2 linked regions of the Oryzias latipes genome follow. The protein of the gene in region 1 interacts with the protein of each later gene in a pairwise test. Links are inferred from orthologs where the notes say so. Each region holds a gene or a part of one and is shown on either strand. Other genes may lie near its edges. The genes, in order: cdkn2d and nr4a2.

Region 1 (4,445 bases):
AGTTCAAAACCAGCACAGGGAGTGCTAAGTATGTGCCTGAGAAGGACCTGGTGCTTTGGACCATCAAGTCCTTTCCTGTGAGAAACACACAATGGAATGAGAACATTTCACTCATTTTACATTCTCTCCATTTACCATAATTATAAACATTTTTAATTGTCCTTGTCTACATCTAACCATTTAGGGAGGAAAAGAGTTTCTCATGAGAGCTCACTTTGGGTTACCCAGTGTTGAAAAGGACGAGCTTGAAGGCAAACCTCCCATTACTGTTAAATTTGAAATCCCATACTTTACAGTGTCAGGAATTCAGGTATGAATGCTTCAAAGTGTTTATTATATCAGTTGCCAATTACTGTATTGTCATTAAGACTTTTAAATAGTTTTTTTTATGTCCATTGACTTGTTTTGTCTTTGCCTTCTAATCTATATGCGATAATAATGTGTCATTTAACTTTATGCATTTTTTTTCAGGTTCGGTATATGAAAATCATTGAAAAAAGTGGCTACCAGGCTTTACCCTGGGTGCGCTATATAACACAAAGTGGAGGTATACTATAATAATTACGTATATTTGATTAAAATTCAAGTATGAAGTAGACACTATCTGTGTTTTAAATTGTGTGCATTTGTTGTTGTTTTAGATTACCAGTTGAGAACAAATGCCTAAGTAAAGCCTGCAAGATGCTTTACTGCATATCTCCAGGACTTCCAGAAGAGCACAATGAATTTTACCTTTTATCTGCACCTGAAGAATTTCTTTAATTTACTTCTTTTTTGTGTGTTTTAACTGTTTTATATTAAATCTCCATGCAATTTGATTTTATTGTCACCTTTTCAGATCTTTTTAAAATTGTTGAAATAAGATTATTCCTCTGAAAACAACTTGTTTTTTGTGCACCTGTTTCTTTGTGAGTTGTTCCTTGAGGACTTTATATGCTGAATTTAGCAGCCGTGGTGTGGTTCACCACCGTGCAATCAGTGCCGGCAAATTCCGCCTAAAACGAAAGACATGAACCCGCCTTTTTTTCCACACTGTTGTGAAGAAATACAACCAAAGCGTGGAAATGTGAATGGACTGTCTTTGAAGAAACAAACGAATACGAATCGCCCGCTTTCTTCGCTTCGCGCTCTGATTGGTCAATCCCCACTGTTACCACAGTGATAACGTAGTAACAGAGTTGTAACCACGCCTCTCTTACCATTTATGGAAGTACAACGCCTATTGGGCCACCTGTGATTGGCCAGCATATCTACTCTCCAATGTTTGTAAATTGTCGGCTAGATCCACTACTGTTTGGATCTCAGCGCGCAAATGTATTTGTCAATGTTTATAAACTCTTCCATTTTGAATTGTATTTAAAAAATAACCGGACTGCGGTGTCGGCGGGCTGAAAATTCGTATCGAGGATTCGGATACTAACGTATTGACGAAGGTAGGATTAAAGAGCTCGGTTTTTACGGTTAGCTTTTAGCTTTTCTGTTAATTTTCATAACTCTCTGTCGATGTGACTTAAGTGTCGGCCAATTTTCTCAATAAAAAAAATATGGATTTGGATATTTTCTGCCGTTTGATTAGCCCAAACAACCAAGTCAAAAACAGTACGCTTACAGTCACGTAACATGGCGTCACCGTAAAAACTACAAGTTACGTTAGCCGGATGTTGTTGTTAGCTAGGTGTAGCCGACAGCAATCTTCCTGGCTTTTTCAGTCTTCCTCGTGCATTTATGTGTTTTAATGGCCCAACTGTGGTTGATTTTCATGGTGTACGGGGCGCGTGTGCTGTTGAACAGGCAAGAACGGAGTTTATAATGGTCCTCAGTCAGATGGACGCTGGCAAAGCGTTGACGGCGGCGGCAGCCAAAGGGAATACCAGCGAAGTGCAGCGGATCCTGGAGGAATGCAGGGTGCATCCTGATACCCGGAATGAGTTCGGCAGGACGGCGCTGCAGGTGAGACCTGTCACGGTAGTAAGACATTAGTCATCTGTAGGCGGTTGGTTTGCTCCTCCACTGTATTTACAGCCCGCTATAAACATAAAACTCTCAACACTTGTTTCTTATAAAATCTTCACATCAAAAAGTGAGCTAAATATTTTTTTAAACCATCGTAATATACAAGGAATTGACTCTGCGCAATAAATAAGTCGCGCATGTTGCCAAATTAGTTCAGTAATGAATAGCCGCTTCCAGGAAGTTGCGCTGTTCCTGTTTTTGATACTTTTCACAGTAAAATGTTCGACGACACTTTCTGTAATTTGCAGACTTGACTGTACCGGAAATCTGATTTAGGCAACGGGGGTATTTTTTTTTTTTTTTACATTTGAGCTGCTTTAATTACGAATAAAAACTGTAAACACAGTAACCACACAACAATTACTATTCCAATATTTAATTAACCCAACATGCAGAGATTTCAAAGTAAAATAGTGGTATTTGGGTGGGAAAAAGGTTAGAAATTGTCCATTAATATTTATTACTAAGTACTGTATTTTATTTAATATATACTATTTATTGGTATACTATGGTAAACTAGTATACTATTAAATATAAATACTATTAATACTAAATCATCAAACAAGAATTATTGTTTTATTATTTCAATCCTTCACTGTGTTATGACTCCGTATTTTTAGAATTTAAATGTATTGTTTAGATGTTTTAATGTATTTGTAAGCAGCCCAGTACTCCCTTGGAATCTTAATGGGAATATCCTGATTAAATAAAGGTCAGAAAATAAAATATATTACTATTATTGCTGATGTCTCTGGAGCATCAGTGCCAGTGGTGGAGATACTAGTTGGTGCAACTTTTTCCCTATTTCCTTCATGGTCGAGTCTGTTTATATACTTTTTTTTAATGTACACTTCTATTATTCGGTAATTTTCCATTTGTGTTTTTTATGAAAAAGAATAAGTTAAAAAAAACGTGACAGAAATATTTTTTTTCTCCCACTTTTTATTTTATTTAATTAGAAGATTGTAAAACATGTTAAGTCAGGCTACTTGACGTGATGATACTGCATTTTTATAGCACACATAAAAAAATAAATGCTTTAACAAACTGTAAGCAGAAAAAATGAAAATGTTCTTTTTCAGGTTTAGTGCAGATCTCAAAGTAAAAGCTGTATTTTATTTAGTGTATTTGTTTTTTATGACAGTTATATTTTTATTTATTTCTATCTCTTATTATGGATGGATTTTTCTTTTCAAGCAAAAGTGAAGGCGTTCTGTAAAGGAAGTTGCTGATTTGTGCATGAGGGCTAATAAATATGCATACAATATTTATTTTTGAACAGGTTATGATGATGGGGAACTCCAAAATAGCAAGCTTGTTGCTGGAGAAAGGAGCAGACGCCAACGTCCAGGACAAACACGGCATAGCGCCTGTCCACGATGCAGCGAGGACAGGGTTCCTGGACACCCTGCAGGTCCTGGTGGAGAATGGAGCTTCGGTGAACATCCCTGACCAGAACGGCGCCCTGCCCATCCACATTGCCATCTGGGAAGGCCACCGCGATGTCGTGCAGTTCCTGGCTCCGCGTTCCAACTTGAAGCACGCCAACCAGAGCGGTCAGACGGCGATAGATGTAGCCCGAGCTTCCTGTGTGCCGGATATGATGGACTCACTTTTTGCTCATATACATAGTTAGAAAAGTTTTCTTCTCACTCGTCGTCATTCTTCATTTTTTTTTGGCTTCAAACCTTGTGACTTGAACTCATTGCTGTGTAAAAGATTATTTTTTTTTGTTATTTGTAGCTCAGCATTAATATGTGACACAAGACATATTGTCTTGGCAGCTTATTTTCAGTGGATGGGTGTCTATATACTGTAGATACCTCTTTTGCACAGTGCAATTTAGGCACCTTATACTTATGCATATATCTGTTTTCCCTTTTGACTGGGAGTGCACATTTGTATAAAGTTTCCGCAGTGTTTCCTAACTATTTCTATTGTGTAAGAATTCATACACGTGTGTTTCTTTTTAAATTACAAAACTTGACATGGTGCACCCTCGTTGCTTTGCCTAGTTGTTAATCTGAATTAGATGTACTTAGACTTTCAATTGACTCTTATTTATTGTTGGACTGAACATTTCCTGTGACGTTGTAAATACAAACATATTGTGATTTGTTTAAATGTTATTTATATAAAAACTTTTACGGAAAAAAGTGAGATTATTCACTTTAATATTTGAGGAAAAACAATAAAAGTGTTGAACTTCAAAGCGAAGTGTTTGAATTTTTCTTTTTTTAACTGATACTTTAAGTGTTCATAGCAACAGGAAAGTAAATGTGAAAAAAGGGGAGATGAAGTTAAAAAAAAAAGAAAATCATGTTGTTGCCTTTATTTTTACTGATTTTGTTTTCTTTTTTTTATAAGGAACCCACCTTTTGTATTTTCTTTCCCCCCCATGGAATTGAAGAAGAGTTTAATCAAATTCTTAC
Region 2 (3,471 bases), on another chromosome or scaffold:
ATAGTGAGTAGTTCTCACTCTGTCTTAGAAATGGCCATTTGCAATTTCACGGATTATATATTTTAAAGGACCTCATTAAGGCGCTGTTTAAATTAAATTCCAGTTCCAGGCAAACCCTGACTACCAAATGACTGGAGACAACACTCAGCACATTCAGCAATTCTATGATCTCCTGACGGGCTCCATGGAGATCATCCGGGGCTGGGCAGAGAAGATTCCGGGCTTCTCTGATCTGCCGAAGCAAGATCAAGATCTCCTCTTTGAATCCGCCTTCCTGGAGCTCTTCGTCCTGCGGCTGGCATACAGGTGAGAGGAAGAAAGGGTGATATAAATCCCCACCCAAACTTTGGATAATCAGGATTTCCTCCTTTAAGCTTCATTGCTTTTGGCTTTATTAGCTGCCTAATAATTAGACGCCTCTTAAATCCATTTTTATTGCCAAGTCTAATTAAGGGATTTTAATTTTAATTGCAGGTCCAATCCAGTGGAAGGGAAACTTATTTTTTGCAATGGAGTGGTGTTACACAGACTGCAATGCGTCCGCGGGTTTGGAGAGTGGGTGGATGCAATCGTGGAGTTTTCTTCTAACTTACAGAGCTTGAATATAGACATCTCAGCTTTCTCCTGCATCGCAGCTCTAGCGATGGTAACAGGTGCGTAAAAACAGCGGCACGTAAAGGAGCTGCATGCGCTAAAAAATCTAGTAGAACATTCCTCATCATTGTTTGCTCTTTTTTTCCCTTTATTTTCAGAACGGCACGGGCTTAAGGAACCTAAGAGAGTTGAGGATCTTCAAAACAAGATAGTGAACTGCCTCAAAGATCAAGTAACGTTTAATAGCGGTGGCTTGAATCGTCCCAACTACCTATCAAAACTCCTGGGGAAGCTCCCCGAACTGCGCACGCTCTGTACCCAAGGTCTGCAGCGTATCTTTTACCTAAAGCTGGAAGACCTTGTCCCCCCACCAGCAATAATTGACAAACTTTTCCTTGACACCCTACCCTTCTGAGTTTTACGCACTAGCCAAACTTCAAAGAACTTCCAAAAAGACTGAGACAAACTTATCAGATTACAGTTTCTAATTTTTTTTTTGTCTTTTTTGCAAGCTCCGTAAGCTATTAGAACAACTTATAAGGATTTAGGCAACATCAAAAGTAACGGAAGAAACTGAGTTTTATCGCTGCAGGCCTTTTATTTTACATTTTTCTTTTTGTTCTATTTTTATTCTGTGCGAATTAGGTGGATGTTTTTTTTTTAGCAGAAATCTCTTTCAAGCCCTTCTTGTTTATTGAACGTCGGCTCTGCTGAATCACTAAGTTGTAATATATTCCATTTATATAAACAGTATATATAAAAGTACACGCACACAAACCCTGTATATTATAATGATAGAAAATGGGATGCATCCAGCGCATCGGTTTATAATCTCTGTATAAAGTTTGTTATAATGAAAAGCTTTTCTTTTTGGACTCGTGCCTATATGTGTTTCTGACAGGATCCCAAAAATCCAGATAAGACAACGCATGTTCCACTTTCTGATTTTTCTTTTTTCATTTATAGGCACTTGCTGAGGTGATGTCTATATAATATATATACCGGACACTATGTAGTCTGCTAGATTTGATACAGATTCGTAGTTATGGCACTCTTTTTCTGTATGATGCATATGTGGAAAAAAATTATTTCATCTGTATAGAAAATGAGGGACCCATGGTGTTTGTAAAACTGTCACAGACATTCCTTGTTTGTATGTGCTGTAAGTATTGTTGCTGTTGAATATAAACGTTTCTATATATTTATTATTTCTATTGCCAAAAGCTACACTAAGCATGGTGCAATTTAAACGATTCCAACCCATCCAAGTTCATGCTGAGCACGTTGTCTATGTTTTAATGTCTTATAAACGTCTAGCTAGTTATGATTTAATAGCTTTGGAAGTGGCAAAAATAATTAATATTTCATCTTTATGAAGAGCTTCATGAGTGTATGATTCAGGCCCACACCTTTGGCATCACCGTCTCATTTGTGTAACGCATTCGGTGCCCAATTCAAAAACTTTAGAGATAAAGAAATATTTAATGTTTACAAATAAAACGTTTAACTTTCAATCTCTTGCCAAATATTTTCTCTGAAAATTAATAGACTTCTTTTCCTAATTACTTTTTTTTTTAACTGGAATGCGTTTTCGACGCGCTTTTATTTACAAAACAGAAGCCATGGCCCTCCATGCAATTTTAAAATAGCCATTTTTATTTTTTGTTGTAAAAATGAAACTTTTTAATGAGATAGATAATTTTTTTACCCCATTTTGTCGTTGAGATGAATGTATTCATAAGCGCGCACATAAAACATGCACTTCTGGCCGAATGCGCCTACATTTAGCAGCTATTTCTGCACTCTAAATTACTTTTTAATACGACTGTAATTTAGAGAATAACCTGCAAGCGTTTTTGTAATCTTTCCCAATTCTCCGACTGTTTAAATCGGCACCAAAGTGACATTTTTTTAGTCTCCTCCTATCTGAAAATGTGTTTTGCCCTTTTAATCTATTTAACCAAAGTAAAGGAAATAGTCGCAACGGCCTATACAGACGTCAATTAAAAAACAATTTTATTTATAAATAAAGATGATCCTGGTTACATTATTTTGAGAGATTTTTGTTGGAGAGTAACTCAAATAAGTTGCGATCCATACAATTTTGCGCATCATGTCTGTGAATTGCTTATAGGAGAAACTTGTTTGTTTCAAAGTTGCCCCTTTCCGAGATCAAGACTGAATATTTGCACAAACAAATGCGAGGCGAACCAATCAGCTTAAATGTGAATTTTAATTGCGCAGCTTGCATTCGGTGTCAAAGCTCTCAGACTGTCGGTGGAATTACAAATTTAAGTGAACAAGTTGATGCTTCAAAAAGTTTTCTTTAAGAAGAATAAGCAAAACAAATCAGGTTTCCCCTAAACTGCAGCCTCTTGCGCCACAGCCTGCGTTTGGATGAAAACGCGAGTTTGATGATTGTAAGCCTGCGGAGTTACCGACCACTTTGCGCAAAGTCCTGCTCTGCACTTCTTTCTTCTCCTCCCTGCGCACCGGTTTAATGCGCTCCCTTTAATCTCTGCTTACTGATAACACACCTACACTTCAATCATCTTTTTAAGGCGCGTCACGACTGCATCTATCGTTGTAAGCGCAAAGGTAAAAGTCAGCGGAGATTGCCCAAACAGAATTGAGGCAGACCGCTGTCACAAAGCCTTTTCTTTAGACTGGCATAAGAGAGAAGTGACGCCAAGCTCTGAGGCATGTCTGGGATTTATCAACATTTACCACACGATCAAAATGAAGGGAACAGCATATTTTGAGAGATATTAGCAGCAGGCAATAAATTGTCTAAATGATTAGATCGTGACTAGAAAGTGCTAATTCCAAGGCAAATTGGGATTACATTCAGAACCAGTTTGCTGACATTTAGCAGAT

Evidence for each region.
Region 2: the proteins of cdkn2d (region 1) and nr4a2 interact in binary tests that used the Homo sapiens proteins (3 or more experiments, as listed by UniProt). The two-hybrid records come from large-scale screens. The link is inferred for Oryzias latipes from reciprocal best matches to the Homo sapiens genes CDKN2D and NR4A2.

What each region holds. Positions count from the first base shown.
Region 1 is NC_019859.2:10,441,372-10,445,816, reverse strand, and holds cdkn2d (cyclin-dependent kinase 4 inhibitor D), read left to right. Parts: upstream 1-1,605; 5' UTR 1,606-1,725; coding exon 1,726-1,950; intron 1,951-3,295; coding exon 3,296-3,649; 3' UTR 3,650-4,225; downstream 4,226-4,445. Other genes in the region: ap1m2 (AP-1 complex subunit mu-2), read left to right, coding at 1-77, 185-310, 472-547, 642-667. UniProt on the Homo sapiens protein: Interacts strongly with CDK4 and CDK6 and inhibits them.
Region 2 is NC_019879.2:20,515,882-20,519,352, reverse strand, and holds part of nr4a2 (nuclear receptor subfamily 4 group A member 2), read left to right. Parts: intron 1-103; coding exon 104-306; intron 307-474; coding exon 475-653; intron 654-752; coding exon 753-1,009; 3' UTR 1,010-3,471. UniProt on the Homo sapiens protein: Transcriptional regulator which is important for the differentiation and maintenance of meso-diencephalic dopaminergic (mdDA) neurons during development.